4 linked regions of the Elephas maximus indicus genome follow. The protein of the gene in region 4 purifies or fractionates together with the protein of the main gene of each other region. This does not show direct contact. Links are inferred from orthologs where the notes say so. Each region holds a gene or a part of one and is shown on either strand. Other genes may lie near its edges. The genes, in order: GLUL, TUT1, SMAD2 and USP15.

What was found.
Region 1: the proteins of USP15 (region 4) and GLUL purify together in Homo sapiens (affinity purification with mass spectrometry; 3 studies listed by BioGRID, with this or other methods). This does not show direct contact. The link is inferred for Elephas maximus indicus from reciprocal best matches to the Homo sapiens genes USP15 and GLUL.
Region 2: the proteins of USP15 (region 4) and TUT1 purify together in Homo sapiens (affinity purification with mass spectrometry; 4 studies listed by BioGRID and IntAct, with this or other methods). This does not show direct contact. The link is inferred for Elephas maximus indicus from reciprocal best matches to the Homo sapiens genes USP15 and TUT1.
Region 3: the proteins of USP15 (region 4) and SMAD2 purify together in Homo sapiens (affinity purification with western blotting; 4 studies listed by BioGRID). This does not show direct contact. The link is inferred for Elephas maximus indicus from reciprocal best matches to the Homo sapiens genes USP15 and SMAD2.

What each region holds. Positions count from the first base shown.
Region 1 is NC_064842.1:45,558,919-45,566,535, reverse strand, and holds the start of GLUL (glutamine synthetase), read left to right. Parts: upstream 1-4,566; 5' UTR 4,567-4,772; intron 4,773-7,615; 5' UTR 7,616-7,617. UniProt on the Homo sapiens protein: Glutamine synthetase that catalyzes the ATP-dependent conversion of glutamate and ammonia to glutamine.
Region 2 is NC_064825.1:125,773,944-125,781,066, reverse strand, and holds the start of TUT1 (speckle targeted PIP5K1A-regulated poly(A) polymerase), read left to right. Parts: upstream 1-4,036; 5' UTR 4,037-4,125; coding exon 4,126-4,207; intron 4,208-5,550; coding exon 5,551-5,741; intron 5,742-7,123. Other genes in the region: metastasis-associated protein MTA2, read left to right, coding at 1-36, 183-272, 678-796, 904-1,052, 1,251-1,416. UniProt on the Homo sapiens protein: Poly(A) polymerase that creates the 3'-poly(A) tail of specific pre-mRNAs. Localizes to nuclear speckles together with PIP5K1A and mediates polyadenylation of a select set of mRNAs, such as HMOX1.
Region 3 is NC_064829.1:56,507,157-56,514,277, forward strand, and holds the start of SMAD2 (mothers against decapentaplegic homolog 2), read right to left. Parts: upstream 3,003-7,121; 5' UTR 2,684-3,002; intron 2,355-2,683; exon of another isoform or gene 2,269-2,354; intron 1-2,268. UniProt on the Homo sapiens protein: Receptor-regulated SMAD (R-SMAD) that is an intracellular signal transducer and transcriptional modulator activated by TGF-beta (transforming growth factor) and activin type 1 receptor kinases.
Region 4 is NC_064822.1:122,512,039-122,519,731, reverse strand, and holds the start of USP15 (ubiquitin carboxyl-terminal hydrolase 15), read right to left. Parts: upstream 3,084-7,693; 5' UTR 3,027-3,083; coding exon 2,938-3,026; intron 1-2,937. UniProt on the Homo sapiens protein: Hydrolase that removes conjugated ubiquitin from target proteins and regulates various pathways such as the TGF-beta receptor signaling, NF-kappa-B and RNF41/NRDP1-PRKN pathways.

The sequences.
Region 1 (7,617 bases), on a different chromosome or scaffold from region 4:
AGCTAAGTGAACTTCATTCTCCCCAACTCTCAAAGTGGTTTCCCATTAGAGACAAGATTTGGGGTAGGCGTCGAACAGAGCGAAACCTTCAGTCATAACACGAGTTTTGGGAAATGGAGTTTTCCCTGTATTTCAATGATTTCAACAAGTGTTCAACAAACCTTACATTGGGCCGCAGAGAAATGGCTGAGGCTTAAACTTCTAGCTTCCTCTCCTTTCATCAAATAATCAGAAAGGATATAAAAAATAAATTCTCTGAGCCTACAGTTAGGTACTGAATTGAAGTATGACCTGGTCTTTTCTTCTTTTATTGTGCAGAATAAATCTGGAAACTTGGCCACCTGCAGCTTCTCCATAAAATATGGTCTAAGAGTAATGCTATCAACTGCTAGAGTTGTCTTTTTCTCTCTTTTGTTTTTGCTTTAAGATTTTACCGTAATCTATCCTTTTGGAAAGAATTGGTGTTGGTTTATTCAAAAACAGACTAGTTTATAATTCTGGGCTGGGTTTCCAGGATGTTCCTCAGTCCTGATTCTTAGCCGTGTCTCTTTAGCCCAATTTAAGGCTTTGCTTGAACATTCATCGAAATCATCCAAATATAGAGAAAACTTCCTATCTCCAAACTGCACACTATGGCCAAAGGTTTGGGTTGGCTTGAGCCCTACTCATATCTTGTGAGTGTAAGGCACCCGCACAGGCTCTAGGAAAGCACTGTCTTGTCACCAGGTTATAGGGTTCAGACCTGTGAATGAGAATGTCATTGTCGTTAGTTGCCTTTGCGTCGATTCTGACTCGTGGTGACCCGTTTGCAGAGTAGAACTGCTCCATAGGATTTTCAAGGCTGTGACCTTTCCGAAGTAGATCACCAGGCTTGTCTTCTGAGGCGCCTCTGGGTGGGTTCGAACTGCCAACATTTTTGCTAGTAGTCGAATGCTTAACTGTTTACACCACCCAGGGACTCCTTGAGAGTGAGTCTAGGTCCTTTAAAGACCTAGAGAAAGACGCTGAGAGGACAACTCACAGGTAAAGCCCACCCAAGAGAAGGCCTTTATTTCAGGCAGCAGAACAACACTGCAGAAATGTTTTCCATCTCCAAACATTTCTGCAGATTTGGAGCAAAAGTTTTACCTGCAGTGCTGGTCTCCCACTCCACCCACCCTGTGGACACAGCTACTCTTCTCTAAGACAGAAAAACATGACTTCAAAGTGCACGCATTAGAACCCCACCAGCTTTGAAACTGTACATACCAAGAGATAGAAAGGTTCATGAGTTCAAGCATTCTAAGGCTCTTTTTATGGAGGGGTGGAAAGTGGGGGTGGGTGGCAATTTAGGGAAGAAAGGGAGTGAGAACAAAGGGCAGCAGACACAGCAAAGTCAAACTGGATGAAACAGGCTGTTCCACTTTTAACTTCTCTAAATGTACAGTCTGGGTCTCTGGAGGCAAACCGGTCGGTTAAAGGACTTCTTCTCATGCATTCTTAGGCTTCCCTGGTCACTCCTTGGACTCACTGGGGCCCTAATTCGATGGGCTTAAGAAAGTGTGGGGCTGACCAAGGAGGACAAGTCCTCTGGTTCACTCCGGAAAGAGTCAGTGGTCGGGTATTATGTTCCTATCCCTCACAAAGCACGCCCCTTGTCACATGAACGGATCAAAGCAAATCCATTTCCATTCTTGGAAAAGCAGCTCAAAGCACTGGTTCTCTTGATGGTGCCGCTGTCACTTCTGTGTAGTCAACAAACATCACTTACTGGACACTGTTGGGGGAGAAAAAGATGAATAAGCTACTCCAGGAGGTTAAAATACTTAGCAAGGAAAGTAGGCACTTGCATCATAAAACGCGACACTATAAACTAAAAAAAACTGCATTTGCTTCTTCATATTCCACCTTCCATTAATGCTTGCCATAAACCACGGCCTTCCAGTGCAGTGGCTGGTGGTAAGGAGTGCTGTGGAAGTCGGTGGTTTATGGCTTGGCAGTTTGGTATCTTTGTAAATAAAAACATCACCTCCCCCTCCATCCAACCATTTAAACTCAAGACTTCACAGAAAGAAATGGAATGAAGATAGCTCACTCTGTTCCCAGGTGTGAGCCCACTTTCATAAAACTAATGGTGGTATATTTCACTGAGTTAGAAAGTTGCATTTAATGGGTCTCAGTGAACGGCTGGTATATGGAAGGAAACAATCCAATCTTTTCAAATTATCTTGGCCAATAATAATTAAGAATATTTTCGTAAATATTTACTACGTCCCAGGTACTATCCTAATCTCTTTTACATGTGTTATCACAATTAATCTTCACGATAAAGTAAAAAACCGGTTCCCATTGAGTCAACTCTGATTCATGGCAATCCCATGTGTGTCAGAGTAGAACTGTGCTCCACAGGGTCTTCAATGGCGGATTTTTTGGAAGTAGATTGCCAGGCCTTTCTTCCAAGACACCTCCGTGTGGAGGAACCTCCAACCTTTGGGTTAGCAATGGAGCACATTAACTGTTTGCACCACCCAGGGGCTCCACAATAATAATTTTATAGGCAAGGAAACTGAGGTTTAGTGTGGCTAAGTAACTCAGTCAACACAAAGCTAGTAAGAACTAAAGCCCAGATTTGAATCTAGGTTTGTCTGACCCAAAGCCCAGCCTTGAACTACCACGTTATAATGCTTCAACATGCAACACTTAAACTTAATTTGGAATCCCTTAGATTTGTGAGGTGCCTTACTGTGTTTTTTTTACTGTGTCCAGAATGCCATCAGTTTGAAACATTCCAAAAGCCCCTGTTTGATATGAATGCTGTATTTATCAGTGAAAAGCATTACAGTGTTAGACACACTTTTAAAGGAAAGAGATGTTGATCAAAGAAGCCAAGTTATGTGTGTGGTTACAGGCAATATTTCTTTTCCATATTTGTGGTACAAAAAATAACCAGAAGAAACTTCTTTCCTTCCTCTCCCGAAGGTACTGGGAGCACGGACTCTTGGCCTTCAAACAGAAAAATTGCAAAGTCTTAAAGGCTGGAGCTTGCAACAAACCAAAAAACCAAACCCAGTGCCATCCAGTCGATTCTGACTGAGCTCGCAAAAGATGCAATAAAGGTTAGAAACCCTGGTGGCCTGGTGGTTAAGTGCTATGGCTACTAGCCCAAGGGTCAGCAGTTCAGATCTGCCAGGCACTCCTTGGAAGCTCTATGGGGCATGTCTACTCTGTCCTATAGGGTCACTATGAGTTGCAATCGACTTGACGGCAACGGGTTTGGTTTTTATTATTATTTTTTAATCATCAGGTAGACTTTGGGCAATAAAAATAGAACGGCCAAGTAACAGGACTGGTAGCAAGAACAGTATTTTAAAAATAGGATTACTGTGCATCTGTTGACAAGCATCCATTTTCAAGGCTGCACTCACATGTTTTCTCAACCATCACCGCAAGGCTGAGAGGAGCAAAAGCCAATTATTCCCATTTTATAGATTTAAAAGAAGGCCTAAGTTACTTGCAAAGCAAAAACAGGGAGAATTTAAGGAATTCTAAACTTTTGAGGAACCCTGGGCTACCGCGGGGCCATGAGAACACCTCACTTTCATCTGCTCTTGGGGAACAGTTTGCATAAAAGCACAATTTCAAATCTGGCCAGCAGCCCTAAAGGTCCCTTCAAACTGCTTTGTTTTGCATATGAAGAAACGGGCCCAAGGAGGCTGAGTAACTCGATTAAGGACTGACAGAGACCTTCTCAGACAGGTCTCCTGACTGTTTCTACCGCCCGCCGAAATCTTCTCAATGGAATTATATAAACACCGCAAGATGATTAAACATGTGAAATAGCAGAGTTCTGTCCACTTCCCCAAAACCCCTGAGAGAACTGGGGAGAGGGCTCTTCGTGGACGCTGGAATCCCGGGCCTCCCATCAGCAACCCCCTCTGGAGCCTTCTCGAGCCCCGCACTCCGACGCAAACAACCACGAGCGGGCCGGTGGGGCGGGGGGCTGGTCACTAACACCAAAAGCCAATATGTTTCCGTGGTTCAGAATTTCCACCTCTGGAGTCCGCGGTATGACCTCGTAAAAGATGAAATTCTCCTTGCAAAAAAACAAAACTATTCAACCCGAAGGCAGCAGCGGCGGCTGCCCGGGGAGGTTTTCTAGGAGGCTTGGAACTCGGGGCTGGGGGGCTGCAGGGCCAGACCCAGGTCGGTGCTCTGGGCTGGGCGCGGCGGCCCGGGGTTGTTTTGCTCAAGCCTGCTGCAGGAAGGGTCCTTCCTCGGCGGGAACCAGCGCCCTCCGCGCGCAGCCAGCCGGCCAGCCCTTCTTCCCTCCCCTCCTCCCCAAACCCTCCCCTCCTCCCCAAACCCTCCCCTCCTCCCCAAACCCTCCCCTCCTCCCCAAACCCTCCCCTCCTCCCCAAACCCTCCCCTCCTCCCCAAACCCTCCCCTCCTCCCCAAACCCTCCCCTCCTCCCCAAACCCTCCCCCTCCCCCACGTCCCTTTCTCTTTCTTTCCCGGCTCGCGCTCCCCCACCCGGCGGCGCGCCCGCACCGCTCCTCGCCCAATGGCCGCTGTGCCCGGGCGCACATCAGCTGATCAGCCCGGGCTCCCGGCCGCTGGAAGCCAATCAGGGCGCCGGGGGCGGCCCCTGGCCGACGATAAAGGGTGTCCGGCTCCGGGCCACCCTTCAGAGCCGAGGATGGGAGCAGAGTCGAGCGTCTGACCTGTCTACCTGGCCTCCTCTCCTCACCTCGCTCTCGCGGCCTACTCTCCCTCCAGCCGGCTCGCCGCCCAGGTAAGCGCCTGGCTGCCCTCGGGGCGCGGAAAGCAAGCGTGCCTTTTCCCCGGCCTCCTCCCCGCCGCGGCCCCGCGGCCTTTTCTCTTTGGCCCCTTCCCTGCCTCCAGCCCCCTCCTCTGCTTTCGGCCCCCCGGGGGTGTCGAAGACGCGCGCGTGCTTCCGCCGTCGGTAATTCCGGGCGGACCTGGGCTGCCGTTTGTGGGGCGCGCCCTTATCAGGGTTTTGAGAAGGGTTGGGGGGGGTTGTTTTGATCTTCCTTCTGCTGCAGTGGCCCACAGGCAGGCCCTGGAGGCCTCGGCGGGCAGAGCCGTGGAGCCCCTCGCCTGGGCGGAGCCCTGGGCTCGGGGTGTTTAGGTTGTGGAGGGAGAGGCTGTGTTCCGCTGCGGGAGCGCACGCCGGGGCTCCTGGTAGGCGCGGGCGCCTCGCTCTCTTCCTCCGCGTGGTGGCGGGTTTTGGAGGTCGTGGTGGTGTTGATTATCTTGTAGACGCCAACGTTGAAGGGAATAACCATGAGTGTTTTGTTTGCGTGGCTGCTTCCCGCCCCGGAGACCGGGGAAAATTCTGGGCCTTCCACTTATGACCGAACAATGGGGAGCCCGGCACCGCGGCGTTACCCGGCGGGTGCGGCTAACGGAGAGGCCGGGCCGAGGCGGCAGCCGCGCACCGCCCCTCCCTCCGTTCATCCCTCCTGTCGCCGCCCCGCTTCCCCCAGCCTCTGCCCTCAGAGGAGAATGGCCCCCTTGGTGAGGCCCTGAGATCCAGACCCGGGGGGGCGGGGCGCCGACGTTCGTGACATTTCAGGGCGTAGGGGCTCGTCTAAAAGTGGATTCCAACTCCCCCGGGGGCAGGAAGCGGGGCCGCTCCCCTAGCCGCAAAGCCACAAAGTACGATGCGGACGACACAGAGTCGCGGTCCTCGGGGTCGCCCTCCAACTGCTTTGGGTTCGTCGCCTATTCGGTGAAGTCCGGAGAGAAATCGCGATTCAAGATTAAGGCCTTAACCCACCAGCCTCAGTATTCCAGCATCCCCCGACCCGAGGGCTCTCGGTCTGCATCTCCGTCTCCGTCCCCCTCTCCCAAAAAGATCCGGTGTCTGGACCAGCGAGAGCCGGAGATCAAGGAGGAGCGTGAACAGAAATCAAAAAAGAGGAGGGCTAAAATAGAGGGAGCCCCCGGAAATATTACTGACCTCCATTGGCTGGGGTGAGTGAGAGGGCAGAGAGAGAGGACTCCGGAGCCGGTGGCAGCTGCAGAAACAGCTAAAAGCTTCAGAGTCCCATTTTTTCCCCCACGTAAAACTTGGCACCGTGAAGGCACCAGTTGCTAAAGTAGACTAGGCTGCTGGCCTCCGCTTCTGATCACCAGAGAGGGCAGGAGACGCTTCACCTAGACTTAAGAGAAAATGTGGCTGGATTTTGGAGGTGAAACAAACGGGTTGGGGAGGAAAGCTGAGAGTGGAAAGCTTTTCTTGGAAACAGAAAGGATCAGGATCGTTCCTGCTGGTCATTCAGGCAGGGATGGGGGAGCGACGTGATTTGACAGACCAAGTCTTATAGATGGAATAGGCAAAGGAGGTTCTTTTCCCCAAGGGAGAAGGATGAGGCTGTTGGAAGAAGCAGTTATGTTTTCAGCTGGGCAAACATGGACCGTTGCCCATAGAAACTTTGCCACTGTACTTCAGAAAGTTACCCAAGTCATTGCAAGAGAAAGAACAATGTGTTCCCTTTCCAGCCACCCTGGGCCTTTGGTGGGGGAGGGAGGAGAAAACGTTTCCTCTTGTTTTGTGGCCTCTTCTTTCTGGTTTTTGTTCTTTTCAGAAGTTTTGTAGTGGTGGCTAGTGTGCCTCAGAGCTTTTGAAATCCCAGAGTTTTTTGGTTTAGAAATGGGAATTCCTATTTGAGAAGTTGTCTAGTGGGATCTCAAGAATATTGTCATTCTCAAACTTAAATATGAATGAGCCCATGTTCTGAAGTGACCGACAACTTTGCATCAGACCAATGGAAACTGTGGTAGTGTTCACCTTGGAATCCGAATTGGATTGGTAGCTGTTTTTACATCTTGGTGATTGTAATAACTGTCATCCTTTTATTTCATTTTTGTAGGAAGCCTCAGCCTTCTAAATCTTCTGGGTAGCCTGGTTTTTCATCCTTAAATCTAAATGGTTGGGTCTGCCCCCTACCCTTCAAAGGGAGGGAGAATCTCCAGAAAGGGGTTTTTATTAAGAACACAGCTAGAATGAAAGGCAAAGGGAAGATTCAGCCAGAAACCATAGCAGCCAAGTCTTTCTGTGTCTGGATTTTACTTTTATTGGGAGAAGAGAACAACTTTTAAAACATTTCTGAACCTTAATAGTTTCTTGTTTTTGCCCCTAGTTTCATAATATAAGAAGCTTTCTAAACAATTCTACCTCAGCTACACTGAGGGATAGGGGTTAGTCCTCACAAGTCTAGATTCTAGCTTGGGGAGGGAAGCCTTGGATTTGAAGAAGCTGCAGAACTTCAACTTCTGAGCCCAAGGATGCAGAGAGGGGTCAAGGGTTACCACCAATGGCTTGGTCTTTTCTCCAGTAAGTATCTGCTTTAATCTCTTCAAAAGGTGGTACTCAGATTTTATAGCCTTATAAAGAGAGTTTTATCTGATATAAAACTTTAATACCCCAGAAAGCACATTGGATAAATACACCTATGGGTATGTGACTTCAAAGGCAGTGGCCGCCACTCTCACCCTGACTTCTTGAGGGTAGTGTTTTCCTTTGATTTAACTGTCTCTCTTGAACCACCGCAAGGATTCGGTTTGCAGTTGGTGTTCTGCGCTCTGAACATTGCTGTCTTTTCTCTCCAGAA
Region 2 (7,123 bases), on a different chromosome or scaffold from region 4:
ATGCTCCTATCAATGCCAATGCCATCAAGGCAGAGTGTAAGGGCAGTGGAAGGCCTTGTGGCGGGTTTCCCTAGATGTTAATGACGGTAGGGATGGTAGGACACAGATTTGACATGGCTCCTGGCCCCAGCAGAGGCCTGAATTGTGAAGCCCCTTCAGAAGCTTTAATCTTATTTCTCCAGGCTCCATCCGACTTCCTAAGGCTGCCAAGACTCCACTGAAGATTCACCCTCTGGCGCGGCTGCCCTTGGCAACTATCGTCAAAGATTTGGGTATGGGATGGGGAACCAGACTGTGGATATAGGCTGGGCATAGGACAGGTGACCCAATTAGGGTGGAGGTAGGCTCCTCCTACTCCCTTTACTGTCAAGAACCTTCCTTCTCCCTGCTTTTTTTTTCCCCACTGAGTTCTTAAAAAGTTAGTCTAACTGTGTTTTTGTATGTTAATGATTCTTTTCATAAGCTACCCAGTATTACCATACTGATTTGGTCAGATCACAGTCCTGTATGATTTCTGAAATATTGGAAATAGCTTACCAGACCCTTCCCGATTGCTACTTTTGGAGATGCCCAAGGAAACTATGCACCCAGGAGAAAGAGATGGAGTTGAGAAAGGGAAACTGTAGGGAAGAGAAAGTGTCAAAGTTCTCTAAGTTTTATTATTTTTTTCCTGGCAGTGGCCCAAGCACCTTTGAAACCAAAAACACCTCGGGGCACCAAGACACCTATCAATAGAAACCAGCTGACCCAGAACCGAGGACTGGGGGGCATTATGGTCAAACGGGCCTATGAGACTGTGAGTTGACAGGCTGGGGTGGGCCAAAGCTGAGTTGGGCATGCTTTTATTCTGGTAGGAGTCTGAGCAGGTCCCCTCCCTCATTGTGTTGCCCCACCCTTTTCCAGATGGCAGGGGTAGGGGTCCCCTTCTCTGCCAATGGAAGGCCTCTGGCCTCAGGGATTCGCTCAAGCTCACAGCCAGCAGCCAAGCGTCAGAAACTAAACCCAGCTGATGCCCCCAATCCTGTGGTGTTTGTGGCCACAAAAGATACCAGGTAGGGAGCCCACCATGGGAGGGGCTGAGAAGTTGATAACCCAGGTTGGTGGATATGAGAAATAGGAACATCTAAGCAAGAGCAAGCAGCTCCAGGAAGACTGGTGGTGCAGGGAGGGGCAGTGCTGGGAAGGCAGAACTGCCATGTGGAGTTTCACCTTGGGGGTCTTAGCCTTCTTTCTTCCCCTCTCTTGGCCAGGGCCCTGCGGAAGGCTCTGACCCACTTGGAAATGCGACGAGCTGCCCGAAGACCCAACTTACCCCTGAAGGTGAAGCCATCGCTGATTGCAGTGCGGCCCCCAGTTCCTCTGCCTGCACCCTCACATCCTGCCAGCACCAATGAGCCCATTGTCCTGGAGGACTGAGCATCTGTGGGGAAGGGAGGTGGGCTGAGAGGTTGAGGGTAGGTGCTTGGGCACCCAATCCTCCTTTTTTTCTAGTATCAAAGGGAGTGAGGCCTGTGAAGAGGGAGCAAATGTGTGTCCCTGGAGGGGGTGGGCGCCCCCTGGTGGCACCACAGCTGGGCTTGTCCCCTCCCCATGCTTCTCTGTGCCTGGTGATGGAGGACTGACTGCAGGGACTTGGCCTATGTGGGAACCTGGCCTGTTTTGTCGAGTAGGACCCACAAATTGTCTTGGACAGTTTTGGGGGGAGGGTTTTTTAATTTTTTAAAAATTTTGCCTCCCTTTGTGAAAGGGAAGGGGGAGGGGAAGAGTAAACAGATGTCAGGTGGTTGTACCTGATTGGGGGAGGGGGGTGTGCACTGCCATGTCTTTTTATTTTTTTCCTAATTGGGGGTTCTCTTCCTGTCCGGTGTCCGGACTTTCCTAATTGGAGTTTGAGGCCCCTAAGCTGGCATCAACCCCAGCCCATGCTCGCTCTTTCTTCCCCCCTCCCCCTCTGCCTTTTGTACGCCAACTCTCAGAAATAAAGATCTTTTGTCCATTTTTTTAACCCTAGATTCTGTAATTGGTTCTTATAGTAACAAATAAAAAGCTGTTTTCTTCAGCTCCTCCCGGCTCAGCTGTTCTCTGCCATGGATATGCGTGGGGGAAGGGAGGGGAGGTCTTCAAGAGGGAAAATAATAAAGGACAAAGGATTATAAAGCAAGTACAGATGGGGCTTGCCCTGGAAACAGCTTCTTTATGAAATATGGACTGAGGCTGCCTGCTGTAGCCAGCCTCGTGGGCCCAAATTCTACCCCCCACCCCAGGATCCCCACAGCCCCCAGTGGTGCTAGAGACCAAGCACCATCCTGGCCAGATTCAGTCAAAGCAGTTGGGATGAACTGCCTCTGGATGGCTGGTGGCTTCCCGAGGAGCGGGGTATGACTGCCGCTTCCTCTATTTCCCCAACTCTTATTTCCCTCTGGAATCCCTGGGTGATGCAGATAGTACCGAAAGGTTGATGGTTTGAGTTTACCCAGAGGCACCTTGGAAAAAAGTTGATCTACTCCAAAATCAGCCATTGAAAACGTGAGAGATCACAGTTCTCCCCTGACACACATGGGGTTACCATGAGTCAGCATCGATTCTACAGAAACTGGTTATTTCCCTGTCCCTTTTTCTTAGGAAATTCTGGGAGTTGCTAGAGGCCAGAGGCCGGGGCACGATGTAGGCCACCTTAGCAGGTACCGCAGGATCTTACCACCCAGCTCCAGGCTGTACTCAGCCTGCAGCATCAGGATTCTCAGAGCCTCAGCAACTGCCTTGATATTGGGGCCCGATGCAGTGCTATTCTCTGCCTATTTAGGCTTGGGAGATAGAACAGATACCTGAACAGGGCCCTATAGGACGGATACCTCAGGAGAGAAGACAGGAAGGTCAGCTTACTGTGTGCTCCTTGGGCCCCTCCTTTAGAGATGGGGGACAACCTCGGCAAAGTGACTTGCTCAAGGTCACAGCCCTTGGTATGTCTGCCTCAGGTCCACTTTGTATAAGCGAAACCACAGCATAAACTGTTTAAAATTACGATCCCCTCCATCTCGGTCTGGCCCCTGCCCCCAGGGTCTCCCTAACTCTTTTACTCACTTCCGGTGAAGTGAGCCCACACCAGCAGCCGTGTCTGGGGAAGAACAGAACACTGTACCAGCTTGAGGGCGGCAGCAGCACTTCCCTCCTCCAGTGTCCTCATTCAGCTGCCACCACGGCCGGTGTCTTCAGCGCTGCCTTGAAGGGGGCCAGTGACTGGCGCCTCGTGAGTACACTCCACGCAGCCCACTAACGCCGAAGGCAAGTGGATGCAGGGATGAGTCTGGCTCACCCAGGCCGCGTGATCTGGCTGCGGTTCCACGGAGTCGGCAAGGTAGCCGGCGGAGGACGGGGCAGAGCTTCCCAACCAAGGCTAGGCTGCACAGAGCCGTAGCGAGGGGGGCAGAGAGGGGCATTTGCCGCCGGGCGCAAGTACAAAGGGGCGTCGGATGAGGCCGGCCGGCCGGCCGGAGAATCACCCCCCTCCCCAGCCGGCGGGCTGGGGCGCTCGTGACCCTCGTTTTGGGGAAGGCCCAGGAGGGAGAGGGTAACAGTCGTGAGGCGGTTGGGAGTCCAGGGGCAGCCCCAGGCTTCGTGGGGCAAAGAGTGGAGACTGTCCATCCTCCGCCTTTACTCCCTGGGTAAGTGAAGGGTTACGGGCGCAGCCGCGCGGATGTCTACCGTGCTTGAAAGGGGCGCTCAGCCGGCCCGCGACCACCCAGCACCGAGGCGGCCGGCTGTCTGGAAAATGGCCCGAAACGCAAGACGGCGCTTGCCTTTGTGGCTACTGTGTTGAATATTCATGATCTTTGAACCAATCATCGCATGATTATCTCAGAGCACACCAATCGGCTCACCGCATGCAGATAAGCATCGTAGATGGGCGGCTTTTCTTATATCGGTGGAGACTGCACCCAGGCTAGAAACGGAACCCTGAGTGGAAAGCGATGGGTTTCCGGAGGGGGTGTGCCTGCACGAGTGCCGCGACTACGTCACTTCCCATCCGAGCGGCGGAAATTGCTTCCGAGCGCGTTGCTATTTGGAAGACAGGGTTCTGGCGAAGGCAGAAGTGCTTGTTTTTTTTGTCGGTATTGGGAAGTGACGATGGCGGCGGTGGATTCGGATGTCGAATCGCTGCCGCGTGGGGGTTTCCGCTGCTGCCTCTGCCGCATTACTACAGCGAACCGTAAGAGTTGGCTAGCGAGGGGGTGGATGCGGGCTCTCATCTTTTGACCCTAGCGAAAGTTAGGGTTAAAGGTCATAGTTCCTGTCAAGTCGGTTGGTGGGATCACCCAGTTCCGTTTTCGTAGGCCGCCGCCGGTCCGAAGGGATTGAAGAGGAGAAAGTCCCATCACTTTATAGATCTCCTTCCCCGTATCCAAGACCTCGACGACGAAAGTCCCGTTATTTTATTCCCTCTTCAGCCGTCATCTATTGGACATCTGCCCTGTCCCTGCACTCTGCTGGACCCTAGGGTGAAAGAAGGGGGTTCAGAGATGAAGGAGCTGACATCCAGAGAGGGAGACACTTTCAATACACTATAGATGTGTTTGGAGAGCTGTGGGATTAGAGAAGGCAGTAATTAAGAGTTAGGCAAGTCTTACAGAGAAGTGACCCAAAAGCAGGGATATGTGAAATAGCATGACAGGCTGCGGTGATGCAGCGTAGGATACCAGTGAGGGAGGGACAGAGAGTGAGTTTGGAAAAGTGACAGATCGTAGTAAGACAATGCAAGGGGCTCAGTGAACCCTCCGATTCTGATTGTGAACTCGTCAATCATGATCTTCCCTAAATGGGGTCTTCTCCCTTCCTCTGTGAATGGCAGTCTCACCTGTCCAGTAGGGCAAGCCAGAAACCTAGGAGTCATTAAGTCTTCCCTGGCCCCATATCTACATTGGTGACACCAAGCAGCAGACTCAAATATAATAAAAATAACGATAGAGGCTAACTTTTCCACATTTACCATGTATCAGACTCTCTGATAAGTGCTGTATCTGAATAGCACCTATGTAGCAAGTACTATTATTACCTTCATCTTATACCTGAGGAAACTGAGGCAGAGAGGTTTAGTAACTTGCTCAAGGTCTCACATAGCTTGACAGAGCAGGGATTTGGATTTGGGTAAGTGACTTAAAAGCCTGCACTTATAATAATCACTGTACCATACCCAGAGATGGTCCATGGGGAATAGTCTAGGGTCCTGAGTTACTTAGTCCTTCCATATATAACCTGAATAAGTCATCTCTTCATGTCTTCACAATTGGCAGGTGTTGCTGCACCTAGTACTTACAGATGGCTTAAGATATATTTGTAGTGTAGCCTTCTCCGGGGAACCACTTGGAGAATATATAGGGACAAAGGACAAAGGAGGAAGGTAGAAGAAGAAAGGAGACAGGACTTTGTTTATTCAAAGGTCACACTTAGTATAACTTTGAAGGATCAGTAGAATTTAGGTGTGCAAAGAGCAAAGGCAGGGCAGGTACAGTGGAGGGTGATTTGGGTGTTTTTGTCTCATGCTTGTCTTTGCAGGACCCAGCCTAGATGCCCACTTGGGAGGCCGAAAGCACCGGCACCTGGTGGAACTACGAGCTGCTCGAAAGGCCCAGGGACTTCGAAGTGTGTTTGTCAGTGGCTTTCCCCGGGATGTGGATTCTACTCAACTGTCTGAGTACTTTGAGGCATTTGGGCCTGTTGCCAGTGTTGTCATGGATAAGGACAAGGTACAATGAATGACTCTGGGGGTGTAAAGAATGAGTCGAGTATGCCACATACCAAAAGAGACATGAGAGAGAAACCAGCAGCCTATTTTGGCTGGTTCCTAATGTGGCCTGTCCTTGGTGGGACACCACAGTACCTAAGCTAGTCCTGTTTTGTGAGCCCTCCCCTGGATTTTATCAGTTCACGAGGAGACTTGTTAGATTTAGTCAATCTGTTATTCACCAAATATTTGTTGACTGCTAGCTTTGTACTAGGCACTGTGCTTAGAGCTGTGTTCTGAGTGATGAAGTAGGTGTTGTTTCTGCTTGCACAGAGCTTACAGTCTAGAGAAGAAAGTAGACAATTAAATGACTACAGTGAAGTGGGTGCTTTAAGAACACACCTTTGGGGGACTTTCAAACCCCAAAGCAACTGGTTGATAAACCAGATGGCAGTTTATTAATTTACCCTGAGGGGTCCTGAGGTTATCTGGTTAGAAGACCCTGTCCTAACTTTTGTCAGTGTCCTTGATAAAGTTTACTGTCACAGTGCTGTGTTCTTTGGCCATATTGTAGTTCTGAGGCTGTACTCTGTTAAGTAGACATGACTTAGGTGATGCCCAAGTGTGGTACAGTGAATTGCTTAATATGGCTCTTCCAGCTGTAGTCTTTGTGATTCTCACACATGATTGGTTAGGACTATGCAAATAATGTGCTTGTGGCCCACCAAGAGGATTAGGCAGCGTGCTGCTAATGCAGATAAGATGTATGGAACTTGTGATGGTTAAGGTTATGTGTCATCTTGGCCGGGCCATGATTTTCAGTTGTTTGGCAGTTATGTAAAGATTTAATCATCCTCCATTTTGTGGCCTAATGTAATTGTCCTCCATTTTGTAATCTGATGTAATTATTCCCAGTTTTGTGATGTGTTGTAAATCCTAGCCTCTATGCCTGTGATTATGGTTCCATTTGGGAGTGAGTTTTCCATTAAGTTAATGAGGCAGGATTAGGGTGGGATGTACCTTGAGTCACCCCTTTACTAGAAGGTGTGACTCAAGTCACCACCTTTTCCCCAGTCACCACACTTATTCAAGTCACACCGTTGCACTGCTTTGCTCAAGTAAGAAGAGTTTCCTTGATGCTGTGGTCCGCATCCAATATGTATGTGAGTGCTCCGGCAAAGCTCTCTCTCTTGCTCTGAATTCTGCATCTGGCTCATCATCTGACCTCCAGTTCTTGGGACCTGAGCCAGCAGCCTGTCTTCTGACCTGATTGCCGGCTCCTGCAGCCTTGCGAGCCAGCAGCCTGTTATCTGACCTGCCGATTTGGGTGTCTCAGCCCTGCAACCACGTGAGTCAGGAGAAACCTCCAGCCTGACGCCTGACTCACAAATTTGGGACTTGCCA
Region 3 (7,121 bases), on a different chromosome or scaffold from region 4:
CGAAATCTTTACCTTTGAAGTTTTCTGACCACCCTTACAATACTTAGTGGGAAACACTTTCCTTTACAGAAACTGAAGGCCTAAAAATGGCTCTTCCACTCCCATCAAAATAGGAGGAAGCTAAAAGACACGCCCCTCTCAACCCCCTAAAAATGACTCTTGTCCCAAGAATATGAATAAACTTCCATCTGCCAGACTGCACTTAATACAGCTTTTATATGCATTACAAAAACACCTGTACAAAAAAGCTGCTACAAAACGAGGCTTCTGGAGTCTTAAAATACAAAACCAACAGAATCAAAACCCAACAAGAAGAAAGCAAGCTTTTAGGCCTAAAAGCCAAAAGTGAAAATATTTTCAAAATGTAAACATTCATCAGTTTATGCAGCTAAACTGAGTGTTTCTAGTGCACATTATGTCCCCCAGTGAGAAGTAATGAGATTACTGCAACAAAATCCTAACGTTTACAATATGACAATGAAAAGGGCAGCCTCCCACCCCCTACCCCCCCCCAACCTGAAGTAGAAACAACCTTTGTTCCTGTTAAGGAGAACTTCTGAGTTGAAGGCTGGAAATACACAAAATCATCCCCAAAATTCCTACTTAAGAGTTAAAACATATTACCAAGGCTGACAAGCCACAAACAACAGGAAATTACCCTGCACAGTTTCTTACAAGACTAGTATTTCATGAACCTTATAGTTTGTGTAGGAAATTGACCACTTATGACTAGATACACAGTTACATCCTTGAAAAACCAAACTTTTGTTAAACATCTACAATGAGAAATCACTGCTTCAGAAGGTGTACTACAAAGTATAAAAACCAAGCTTCTAAGAGCAACATTTTACTAAAATACAGAAACAGATGTTTCCAACACTAAATAAAAATGGCCAATGAACTCCTTCAAACTCAATAGCAGATTTTAACAGAAAGTGGGCACTCACTTTAGAAATGCCCAAAGACATTTTATTTACTATCTACCACACTTTATGACAAAAACTGAGAAACTCTAAAAATACAATCAGTATTACTTTCTGAATTTAATATAAATGCTTTGCTAACTATTTGAGTTATACTTCCATGTTAGAATCTTTTTGTTAAAAGAGGTCAAAACTAGAACAAATGTATTTTCAGCATAATAACAGCAAATTTATTATCTTATTAGGCTAGAGGAAAACATCTTTACTATCAGTGGCACAGGTTCAATTCGTATGAAATTAGAAGAGAGAAAATGAAAAGGAAATACAGACTCATTCAGAATTCTGGAAATTAACTTAATTTTCAGAGACCATTTTTGAAAAGCTGAGATAAGTTTGTGTGATCACTTACTTATAATCATTTTACTGTATGTAGTTCAAGACACCAAAACTGATATACTCCAAACTGTAGCAAACAAGACATGACTTTGACGGATAATACTACTTCCAAATTCGTTTTGCCTAGCAATTCTTTTCAACAAAGGTTTTGCTGACAGCAAACCAACAGTATTTGGCTTCTAAAGGGTCAAGAGGGAGGAATAACAAAACCAACCTAGGTATTGTTTTTCTTTTGTTTGGGATCAAAAGGAAAGCATAACTACCTGAGAGTAAGTAAGCAGCAGACAAAAGTACACTACCCAAGGCCAGTAGTCCACCAAAAGAGAAAAAAATCATTAAAGTTGCAATTTTGAAAACCAAGTTTTAAATACACGAAATAAGTTACCGTGCTTTCTCAAGGCGGGTGATAAAAACTAATCGCCTCCACTCACGAAGCAACTTTCCCGAGTAAAGAATGATCTCGACAGAGTAGCAGCCGTGTGCGTGTTTATGTGAGCACACACAAGCAATTCAGAACCGGAGACTATTATGGTTAACAAAGGTTGCAAGACCAAAAAAACTGGAAGCAAAGAAAGTATCTCACACTCGTAACACGGCTTTCCAACAACTCCTGAAATAAGAGCTCTGTCCCTTCGACTTTAAAAATCAGAACCACAAACTAGCAAGTGTGTTACCAGCGGAGGAGAAGAGACACATCGGCCCGCGCCCCGGACCAGGCTCGCCCGCAGCTCCAGGACGCGGCGCTGGCACGTTTGGCCCCTTCCCTTTCGGCCTTCCCCTGGCCCCTTCGATCCTCGTCCATCCGAAAGCCCGGCGCACCCACTGCCCCCAACCCCGCCACACCCCAACCCCCAACGGCCCGTGGCCATGTGACACGGCGAATCTTACCGACCCAAGCCAAACACAAACACACCCCTACCCCCAGGGCCGCCGGGCACGGGGGCTTTACCTGGACCGGGGCTCCAGGTCCCGCCCCGTCAGATCCGGGGGTCCGGGACCTTTTGTTCTTTCCTCTTCCGAATGGGATGGAGGGGGCTGGGAGGGGAAGAGGGGAATGGTCGATTGGAGGCGGAACTGAAAACACTCCCAGCCGCCCGGCTTCCCGCCCCACCCCGCCCCCCAGCTCAGTTCCCGGCGCGCAGCCGGGCAAGGGGAGGGTCGCGGGCCCGGCCGCCACCGCCCGCCGGAGAAGGAGGGGGTGGGGACGCGCGCGTCCCGCCGCCGCCCCTCCTCCCCTCGCGCGCGCGCGCCCGGACCTCCCCTCCCGGCCCCGGACGCCAAGCCCTCCCCCGCCGCGCCCACCGGCCACCTCCGCTTCCGCCCGCCGCCCTCACACCGCGGCCGCAGCGGCGCAGCGCACCCACCTCCCGGCGGCCCGCTCGGCGCTCGCTGGCTGCTGGCTGGCGAGCTGCTCCTCCGCCGCCGCGGCCGCGCGGCTAGACCCGCCTCCCACCGCGGGCCCCGCCGATTCGCCGGCGCAGCCCCGGGGCTGGCACCCTGCCGCCCGCTGATTGGCGCCCCCACCCGCCTGTTAGGGCGCGAGGAACGCCGGCCGAGCAGAGCGCTCCGCGCGCACAGCAGATGAAGGGAGCGGAGGAGGGAAGGAAGGAGGCCGAGCGCCAAGGGAAGGGCTGGGGGCGAGCGGGGCGCCGAGAGTCGCGGGCCACTACCTCCCCGCCTCCCTTTCCCTTCGGCCGCCCCGCCCACCCGGCTGGACCGGCGGCGCTCGCAGCCAATCAGCGCGCGGGCTGGCCGGGGTGTGAGCCTAGCGTCCGGAGCCTTGAATCGGAAGGGAGACGTCGCGCGCTGATTGGTCCCGCCTCCCCCGTAGAGCGTGAGGCGAGGCGCGGCCGGCTGGCGGCAGAGGCCGAGGAGGGGCTGGACGCGAGCGGTCTCGGCTGATTTCAATTCCGGCACCCTCCCAGAAGCGACTCTGGGAAAGGGAGGGAAGAGTGGAAGGCACGTAACCTGCCGCGCTGGGAAAATAATCCCCAGCGACCACCGGCTCTCGTTGCCGCTTCCTGGGCCCCTTCCTTGGTCCCTGCCAGCGCCATTGGGTGGGGCCGATTTGGGGGCTGCTGCCTCGTCCACTTTCCGTCGTTAAGCCGGGTGAGCACGTGCTCATGCCTGGGGGAGGCTCCTAGCTGCCCCGAGAATAGGACGGGCAAGGGACAGAAAGAGCCCGGTACCCGCCCGCAACTGGGCGCGCCCGTATGCAAATGAGTGGGCGTGGCCCCTCGTGGTGCTAGGCGGGGGCGGGGTCCGAGATGTAAATAAGCCGAGAGCCAGAGGGATGTACTTTCTCTGTGTATTTAGGGTGAGGGAAAGGGATACCAGGTATTTTGGTGTAACCTGCATCTTGGTTTCCAGTTTCAGTAACAGTGGTGCTAATAATGCATTTCTGAACCATCGTTGTGAAGTTTAAAAAGATAAGCGCCTGGCAATATGCCTAATAATTATTGGGTTATTTTCCGTTTTTCATTTCTCCACAGTTTTGGCATGCCTTCTTGCAACCAGTATGTTCCCAGGCCTGAACTTGACACATCTGCGCCAGGGAAGGCAGCAGAGCCCTAAGCTGCTGACTGCCCAAGGCTGGGGTGCAACCGCCCTCGGATAACCGTGCCGCGTTTACCGTAGGGACACCCAAACCTATGCTGACGAGAATATTAAACCTAACTAATCACTTCAAGGGAACCCTGGCGGTGTAGTGGTAATCACATCAAGGAGGAGCCCTGGTAGTGCACTGGTTAAGAATTTGCCTGCTAACTTAAAGCTGAGCAGTTCAAACCCACCAGCAGCTCCTTGGGAGAAAGATGTGGCAGTCTACTTTTCTGTAGATCTACAGCCTTGGAAACCCAACGGGGAAGTTCTGCTCTGTCCTACGGGGTCACTATGTGTTAGAATCGACTCCAAAATGGGTTTTTAATCATAAAAAAATTTTAAGCACCGACTATGTTAGGTTGACAACTTGGGTGCAGTTCGAATCCACCAGCTGCTCCTTGGAAACCCTATGGGGGCAGTTCTACTCTGTCTTATAGGGTGCCTATGAGTTGGAATCGACTGTAAAGGGTTTGGTTTTTTTGGTTTACGTTAGGCAGGGGGCACCAGAGAACTGAAGTTGGAAAGAATCTCAGGTTTCACACAGGTAGTTTGTGGCAAGGACAAGACTACTGTTGTTTTGGGTGCCATGGAGTCAGTTGCAACTCATAGTGATCCTATGGGACAGAGTAGAACTTCCCCAAAGGATTTCCTAGGCTGTAATCTTTACTGGAGCAGATATCCAGGTCTTTTCTCCAGCAGAACCATTCAGCAGATTTGAACCGCTAACCTTTCAGTTAGCAGCCAACCACTAACCGTTTGTGCCACCAGGCCTCCTTAGAGACAAGATTAGGACACAGTTTTCTTGGCTCCCTGCCCAACACTCTCTCATGTACTACTTCATTAATGTAATTGGGGACTGTCTTAGGCTGGGTTTTCTAGGGAAGCAAAACCAGTAAAGCATATGAATACATACAGAGAGAGATTTATATCAAGGAAACATCTCACAAGATTGTAGAGGCTGGAATGTCCCAAGTCCATGAATTAAGATAGAGGCTTCTCCTGACTCACGTAGCCGCAGGGGCTGGCGAACCTAACATCGGCAGGACGGAGAGCAGGGCTCTTGCTCACAAGTTGTGAAGATCCATGAATCCCAGGATTGGCAGGTAAGCTGCTAGCTCAAGTCCCAAGAATCGGAGGTCAGGCAAACGGGAGCCAGCTGTGGGATCCAGAGCAGGCAAAAGCCAGAGCATCCGCTTATATTCAGATACAGGCCACAAGCCTGAAGAAACTCCCTTTCAACCAATTGGCTACTCACAGCAGATCCCATCATGGGGGTGATCACATATAAACACTGAGAACCATGGCCCAGCCAAGTTGACACACAATCTTAACCATCACAGTGACTCAAGTGGGACAGCATCACTAGCAATACCGAATTAAGAAGTACCAAATGAGCATTTCAGAGTCCTCAAAGTGTACTGTTTCCAGAAGTGGAGGAAATCTCAGCTGGACTTTGAGAAATATTTGGCCTTCTGTCTGAGTCTTACAGGTTTTCCAGAGTTCTTCTCAAAATCTCCATCTCTCTCCCAAAGCATGGAAGTACTTTTCTGATTGAAAGGTGATGAAGGGTATGAACCCTGGAGTTAGGCAAATCGTAGTTTTGAATGCAGCTCTTCCACATCCGTGATCTTTGGCAAGTGGAACTAACTTGCAATGATACCTATTTAAATGTAGTTTTGTGATTATTAAGTAGAATAATAAATATGCAAATGAGTAGCATAGTGCTTTGAAGTTAAAAGAAAGTCGATAATCAACATTTCTTTTCTGTTCCTGTATGCATTATGCAAATATGAGCCTACTCAGCAGGAGGGGTTCCGTCAAAAAGTTTACTTTCAGGGTGGCTTCTTCATGGTTGGTTTAGAGGCAGCCTTACTCACCCATTTTTTATAAAATAGCGTGTGAAGGAGACCCAGGAAGACAAGTGGTGGAGCTGTTCCACCTCCTGGCTTTGTGTTCCCACTTCCCAGAGCCACCAGGGAACATGGTCATGGGCAAACCCAAACCCGTTGCCATTAGTTGATTCTGACTTATAGAGACCCTACAGAACAGAGTAGAACTGCCCCATAGGGTTTCCAAGGAGCTGCTAGTGGATTTGAACTGCCAACCTTTTGGTTAGCAGCCAGGCTCTTAACCACTGATCACCAGGGCTCCTTTGGTCAAACGGAGGTGGTCCAATGACAACTAATACCAGCTACACAACTTAGAAGTATAAAGGCTGTTTCTGGTTTTTGGTCCTTCATCCTGCTAGCACAGATCAACAGTTTTAATAAGAAACAGCCTATAAAAAGCTGTCCTGCATCACACAAACATTCTCCTATGTGACCAGGGTGTGGATTTGAGTGCCCACCTGGGTGAGCAGGTGTGGTAACAAAAACAGAGCTGACCGGGATTCCAGAAGAATCTGCTCTCAGTATGGAAGCTGGGCAGTCTGGAGGGTACACTCATTCAGTGGGTAATATGCTTGGCCTAAGTTAAAGCCTCTCTCCAAAGTGTTGGACTTTGGGTCTCTAACTCTTCCACTCAGGTAGTCTTCCAAGATATGTAGGATTGAGGAAAGGGGAGGAGGGGCAATCTGGCTACCAATGCAGTCCCCAACAGGCTTACAAATGGGAGCATGCCTACTGTCCCTCTGCTAGAAAAGTATCTAAACCAAAGTGGGTCAAGACAGAAATTGAAGGCAGATGGGGCAGGGATTGCTGTGGCAACAATCAGCGTGGAAATCCACTAGGACACTTCAAGATCTATCAGTAGGTTCCTATTGTATAAGTTACACTGAGTAAGTCTAATTTATATATGGATGGACCCCAAGTTTAACCCTTCATGATGCGTGACACTGAAAAATCAATCAAAATCAATTCAGAATCCATTTAAAAGTAGTTAAATCCACTTTTTTCTTTTTTTTTGCCATCCACTAGACAGACACAAAAGAAAAATGGTAATGGTGGCTGCTTTGAGAAAGAGAGCCTGGGAGTCATGGGTATTTCATTGTTAATTTTTCTGTAGTTTGATTTTTTAAAACTATATTCATGTGTTGCTGTTCAAAATGAATGACACATCTTCCATCTCTTCTGTAGTAAATCTGTAAAGCCCTTCCTTTCTACCCCAGCCCAAAGCTATATCACTCATCTATGAACTTTCTATCTTTGGTCAGAATGATATCCATATGTGGTCAATGAGTTCCTTTATGTGGCCTTTTGCCTT
Region 4 (7,693 bases):
GTTGAAGCACATAAAAAATGACATTATGAGACTATATCTTTACTCCTTCTGATGCAGACCAGTGTCACTTTTCTACTTCACCTTTTAAGAGGTATTACTCTTGTTAATCAACTATGACTTACTTTTTAAAGTCTAGTACCACATGTATCATAAAGTTTGTTCTTCATTTCAGACTTATTTATTTTTGCATCTAGACAAGTAAGCAGTTTGCAGATAAAAATCTTTCATTGTTTACAAATAAACAGAAACTCTAGCATTCATCCAGAACCAAACACATCTTATTACCTGCCTAGGCGTTAGAATTACCAGACTACTATGAGACAGCCCTTATCTACAAAGCACTCACAGCCTAACTTGTGAAATACATTTTTAAAAATTCATTTGACTGTAACTTCAAACATTTGAATTAAGCTTTTGAGAATAAACTTCTGGTAAATCTACCATTTTTTTCTCAGTAGCCCAATCTTTCAAAGATGGTGATATTCATACACCAAGGCAATGTTCCATTTACAAATGGCCCATTTCAGCTACATAAAAACAGATAGGATTTACCCAATCACCCAGAAAAGACTAACACTAAGGTTAAAAAAAGCTTAAAAGGTTACAACTAAATTTGTAGGTATCTTTACCAGTGCTGAGCTCACAAATACACTGTCGGATTTTTACTCAAGCTATTCTCCTTCAAACTCTCAATCAGACTTTTACACTACACTATTTTGAAGCAAGACAGGTTTCATCGGCTAATTTGGAAAACAAACTGGCTCGCATATAAACGAAACAGATTTCTCCAACTCCTCAGCACCACCTTGCTCATACAAGTTCATTTTCCTCCCTTTAAATGAGAAGAAAAATTAATGCGAAGATAAAAGTTTGTACCTTCTGCTGTTCCCTAAAATATCTGGGCTTCGGTTTTCTTTAAAATGAAAACATTCAAATGACTCAAACTTATGGACCCCCTGTATTTTACTCTTTAAAATGATTTACAATAACTTTGTCAAAAAGCAAAAATTATTTATTTGAAAAATACCAGAATTAAAAATTTATTTGAAAAATACCATGATTTAAAAAGTTTAATGCCCACAGTATAGATACAGCTCCTATCATCCTATAGGGCCAACAATACCAATGATTACTCAGTATACCAAAAGTATAACAAGACTAAAGAGAAACAATAATCCAAAATTTAATTTACATATTTCTATTTTAAGGAAATACACATTTACGTTTTTACACAGGGTAATGGGCTAGATAAATTAAGAATTCTTAGAAGTTCTTTAACAAATAGAGCAAGGATTGATTTCATCTTTAAAAACCCACAGGCCAAAGTAAATACAGGTTATCCTAGGATATGTAGCCAAATTTCTCCAAAGAAATAAACATGTTAGGAATGCTCCAATGTGAATAATAACAATTATTTATTCAAAGGTCATATTTTGTGCTGTAATGCAACGAGTATATGTTGACACCCACAGGTATTTTTATCATATAAACACAGTACGCAGCCTACAAAGTAGGAAAAAAGTACCAGGACTTAGATCAAAGTATTTAAATTCAAGTCCCAACCCTAATATCACAGCATTTTGTTAGGAGTAAAAGGTGGAGATAAAAAGGCAACTAAAATTTAACACTTTTCTTAAGTATCAAATCTATTTTAAGTATTTAATTGAATCAGGATAAAACCCTTATAAAAAAACTATTGTCCATTTCATAGATGAAGATACTGAAATGCAATAATTTAAATTACCTTTCCCCAAAGTTATACTGCAAGTTAATTACTGCAACTGTGACATAACTCAGGTCTAAATTCTATGCTCTTTCCATTAAGCTATATTACAGTATCTGAAAAAACACTTTGTAAATTACATACCATAGTTACAGAGACAGTGGGAAGTGGAAATAATTTTTTCTTATAATAAAAAGCTACACTAACTACATTATATTCCTTAGCTGTTCCAGTAAAGTGATACAGGAATATTTTTAAATACTACACACGAATCATACAATAGGCCTACTTGATTTCACCTTCCCTCCTAATAAACTGAGTACTTTCTCTTCATGTCACATATTCACATATTTAATTCTGGAAATCAACTGATAAGGCCGACAAGTATCAAAATTAAAATCTCCACATACTTCATTCAGTATTTTAAGTGTATATCCTCTGGTATTTTATAAGTTTCCAAACTAGCAAGTTACTTAAGCGGCAAACAGACTTACCTACTTTTTGCAGGCCTATGTTTTATGTTATCCCTGAAACAGGAGAGAAGGGCTGTACTTCAAGAAAAACGGTGCCGGCTTTTATCAAGCCTCCACTAAAGCACAAGACCACGTGGTATCTCTCAAAAGCCTAAGGTTCCCTACTTCTCTCCCTCTTTTTGACAAGGAACTGCAAACTACGGTTTCTTTCTCTTAACTGGCGCCCTGACACATGCCACCTGTATAGTACGGACCGCAAACATCCTGCAGCCTGCCTCCCGGAAGAATGCGAGAATCAGAATAAGAGGCAACTTGGATGCCGACAATGCCCGGAAAGGAAATGACTGGAGAAGTAAAGCGGATGGGATCGTAACAAACCGCGGGACCCAGACCTGTCAAACATACTGAAGAACTCAAAACCAACAACTGTAACCTATGGTTCGGAAAGGCCTGAGGTGGGAGCGGCACTATGGGAGGAAGGAGGACGAAGAGAACTGCATGAGCCGCCGCTCTGATCCCCACAAATCTCTCAGCACGCCCCAACAGGCCACGAACCCTAACCCTCACCTCCAGTCCAACCTCTGCCCCCAAATTTCGGCAGCGGCCAAAATCCTGCTGCTCAGGGCGGCAGCCGCCGGACCTACCCGCACCTGTCACTAGCGAAAGACACCAGTCCGCAGTTCCCGCCCAGTTACCCACCATCCCCGGGAAACCGCGGGCACCTCAACCTCCTTCTCTCACCAAGTGTCCCCTTTCCGGAGCGAGGTTTTGAGTAGCGTCGCGATGTCAGACCGCTGGGTGTCCAAATCCGCCGCTCCACCTTCCGCCATCTTCTTCCACTAGCGGTAGCGGAGGCGGCGGCAGCGACGGCGGCGGCGGCACGCCCCAGAGCATTGTGGGAATGGCGTCCTGCGGCCCCTCCCAGCCGCCAGGTCGAAACCAAAAGGGCCGGGGGTGGGAGCGATGCACCCGGGACAAGAGGAAGTCCCCGGGGCGGACTGGTTGCGTGACCGTGGTCTGCTCCCCCCCATCGGCCCCCGCCTCTCCAGCATCTCGTGCCGGCCGCGGCCTCCTCCGGGCCGGACCCCGGTTTTCCTCGGTGGGGAGCCGGGCGCTCACTCTCTTGAGCGATGCCACGGCCCGGTCTGTGCTTGACTTCTGCCTTCCCCTCCCTCTTTCCCACAGACGCCTGAAAACCCTTATTTGCGCATTCGCTCACTGTTGAGGGTGGGGTGGGGACGAGGGGCGTGGGGACGGTTAAGATATGGCAGAAAATTTTAGCGAGTGTGTGACTCTTGTCTTTTCATTGCGAGTCGCGGTACCCAGGCTCGGTGAGTGTTGGCCCAAAGTACAATCCGAAACCGAACGCTTGGACGCAGTGCTCATCGTGGACTTCCTAGAGCCCTCTTACTGCTGGTGTAGGTGGGGACCTTTTATAGGCTCTTTGTGACGGCTCCCCGGGCACACCCAGACAGCTAAAGTGCAGTGAAAAGCGTGTCCCAGTTCCTCGGTGAACAGGGCGTAAAATATGTATTGAGTAATAAAATATGTATTGAGTAATAAAAAAAATACCAGGTACTAAAAGGAAGGAAAGTCCTTTCCCATTATCTTCCCATGGTACGTACACCTGAAATGTAACTGGATGGTAATTGCAGTTGAGTATTAGTTGAAGCTACAATTATGCTAAAAATGAGGAAATTGAGTCTCAAAAAATCAAGGGTCTTACCTAAGGTCACACAGCTAGTAAGTGGAGAGACAAGTTTATAACCTAGGGTCCAAAGCCCATGTGCTTTTAAATGTAGCATACTCACTACCTCTTGTAATTGAAAGCCTGAACTAAAATGGGAACGCCACAAGAGTTGGAACTGAGTCCATCTTTTTTACCTCTGTATGCCTAGTGGCTAGCACAGTGTTTCCTAACATATAAAAGCCATCTAAATATTTATTTAATTAATTAATTTTGTCAAAACTGCTTAAGTATTTCAAAGAGTAAAGGTTCCAGAGACTTGGTGTTAAGACAACGCAAAATGATGTGAAAAGTCTAAAAGATGGGAAAACATCCCTATGCTCTCTTGTTTTCCCATTTTTAATGCCTACTCTAACCACTATGTGGAAACCCTGGTAGCCATAGTGGTTAAGACCTAGGGCTGCTAACCAAAAGGTTGGCAGTTCCAAGGCACTCCTTGGAAACTCTACGGGACAGTTCTACTCTGTCCTGTAGGGTCACTATGAGTTGGAATCAACTCCATGGTAATGGGTTTGGTTTTGGTTTTAACCACTGTAAGGTCACTATGAGTAGGAATCCACTGGAGGGTAATGGCTTTGTTTTTGGTTTTCTAACTCATCTGGTGGTGGTGGTGGTGTCGTTAGGTGCCGTCGAGTCAGTTCCGACTCATCGCGACCCTGTGCACGACAGAATGAAACACTGCCTGGTCCTGCGCCATCCCCACAATCATTATGCTTGAGCCCATTGTTGGAGCCACTGTATCCATCCACCTTGTTGAGGGTCTTCCTCTTTTCCACTGACCCTGTACTTTGCCAAGCATGATGTCCTTCTCCAGAGACTGATCCCGCCTGACAACATGTCCAAAGTACGTAAGATGCAGTCTTGCCATCCTTGCTTCTAAGGAGCATTCTGGTTGTACTTCTTCTAAGACAGATTTGTTCGTTCTTTTGGCAGTCCATGGTATATTCAATACTCTTCACCAACACCACAATTCAAAACCATCAATTCTTCTTCTGTCTTCCTTATTCATTATCCAGCTTTCACATGTGTATGATGTGATTGAAAATACCGTGGCTTGGGTCAGGTGCACCTTAGTCTTCAGGGTGACATCTTTACTCTTCAATACTTTAAAGAGGTCCTTTGTAGCAGATTTACCCAATGCAATGCATCTTTTGATGTCTTGACTGCTGCTTCCATGGCTGTTGATTGTGGATCCAAGTAAAATGAAATCCTTGCAATTTCAATCTTTTCTCCGTTTATCATGATGTTGCTCATTGGTCCAGTTGTGAGGAGTTTTGTTTTCTTTATGTTGAGGTACAATTCATACTGAAGGCTGTGGTCTTTGATCTTCATTAGCAAGTACTTCAAGTCTTCTTCACTTTCAGCAAGCAAGGTTGTGTCATCTGCATAACGCAGGTTGTTAATGAGTCTTCCTCCAATCCTGATGCCCCGTTCTTCTTCATATAGTCCAGCTTCTAGGATTATTTGCTCAGCATACAGGTTGAATAGGTATGGTGAAAGAATACAACCCTGATGCACACCTTTCCTGATTTTAAACCAATCAGTATCCCCTTGTTCTGTCTGAACAACTACCTCTTGATCTATGTAAAGATTCCTCATGAGCACAATTAAGTGTTCTGGAATTCCCATTCTTCCCAATGTTATCCATAATTTGTTATGATCCACACAGTCGAATGCCTTTGCATAGTCAATAAAACACAGGTAAACATCCTTCTGGTATTCTCTGCTTTCAGCCAGGATCCATATGACATCAGCAATGATATCCCTGGTTCCACATTCTCTTCTGAAACCCACCTGAATTTCTGGCAGTTCCCTATCTATATACTGCTGCAGCTGTTTTTGAGTGATCTTCAGCAAAATTTTGCTTCCATATGTTATTAATGATATTGTTCTATAATTTCCACATTCAGTTGGATCACCTTTCTTGGGAATAGGCATAAATATAGATCTTTTCCAGTCAGTTGGCCAGGAAGCTCTCTTCCACATTTCTTGGCATGGATGAGTGAGTACCTCCAGTGCTGCATCTGTTTGTTGAAACATCTCAATTGATACTCCATCAATTCCTGGAGCCTTGTTTTTCACCAATGCCTTCAGAGCAGCTTGTACTTCTTCCTTCAGTACCATTGATTCCTGATCATATGCTACCTCTTGAAATGGTTGAACATTGACTAATTCTTTTTGGTATAATGACTCTGTGTCTTCCTTCCATCTTCTTTTGATGCTTCCTGGGTTGTTTAATATTTTCCCCATAGAATCCTTCACTATTGCAACTCAAGTCCTGCATTTTTTCTTCAGTTCTTTCAGCTTGAGAAACACCAAGCGTGTCCTTCCCTTTTGGTTTTCCATCTCCAGCTCTTTGCACATGTCATTATAATATTTTACTTTGTCTTCTCGAGCTGCCCTTTGATATCTTCTGTTCAGTTCTTTTACTTCATCAAGTCTTCCTTTTGCTTTAGCTGTTCGACATTTCAAAGCAAGTTTCAGAGTCTCCTCCGACATCCCTCTTGGTCTTTTCTTTCTTTCCTGTCTTTTCAATGACCTCTTGCTTTCTTCATGTATGATGTCATTCCACAACTCATCTGGTCTTCGGTCACCAGTGTTCAACGCGTCAAATCTATTCTTCAGATGGTCTCTAAATTCAGGTGGGATATACCCAAGGTCATACTTTGGCTCTCGTGGACTTGCTCCGATTTTCTTCAGTTTCAGCTTGAACTTGCATATGAGCAATTGATGGTCTGTTCCACAGTGGCCCCTTGCCTTGTTCTGACTGATGATATTGAGCTTTTCCATTGTCTCTTTCCACAGATGTAGTCAATTTGATTTCTGTATGCTCCATCTGGCGAGGTCCATGTGTATAGTCGCCACCCCCCCCCCCCCACGTGTCTGTCAGCTTGTCGTACTGTGGGGGCTTGTGTGTTGCTGTGATGCTGGAAACTATGCCACCGGTATTTGGATACCAGCAGGGTCACCCATGGAGGACAGGTTTCAGCTGAGCTTACAGACTAAGACAGACTAGGAAGGAGGACCTGGCAGTCTTTCTGAAAAGTATTAGCCAGTGAAAACTCATCTGGTTGGAATGCAGTAAAGATGGATGTTGCTATGCCAGCAACCAGTGCTGAACAATTCCAAGTGAAAGGAGTGTATACTGACATGGTTTGTTTATATCAGCATTGATTGCTTACTTTCTGTGTAATAATCCTGTTTCACAATTACATCATCCTTGATTTGAGAGTCTGATAACAGCTTCCCATCAATGCTATTTCGTATATTATTTGGCTTCTGACAGACTGAAAAAATAGAGTTTCTCTAACCATGGGTACCTTCAAAGGGCCACAATTTTCCCCTTTTCTACCCAACCTCTGAATGAGAACAAAGAATTTTTCAAGAGAAGCAACATGGTTTGGAAAGACTTCTTTGGAATCACAGGAATCTGAGTTCAAACCTCATTTCAGCCTCTGGCTGCAAAGCACTTAACTCTTAGTTGAATCATAGACTTTGGGATAATAATACCCATCTTGGAGTCCCTGGGTGGTGAAAATGGTTAATGCACTCCGCTACCAACTAAAAAGTTGGAGGTTCAAGTCGACCCAGAGGCAAAAAATCAACCATTAAAACCCTATAGAGTGCAGTTCTACTCTGATGCACATGGCGTCCCTATGGGTCACAACTGGATCAAAGACATTAGTTTGTTTTGGTTTGTTTATTGAGTGTCAAGCATCATCCTAAATACAAGTATTAATCCTCAGAGCA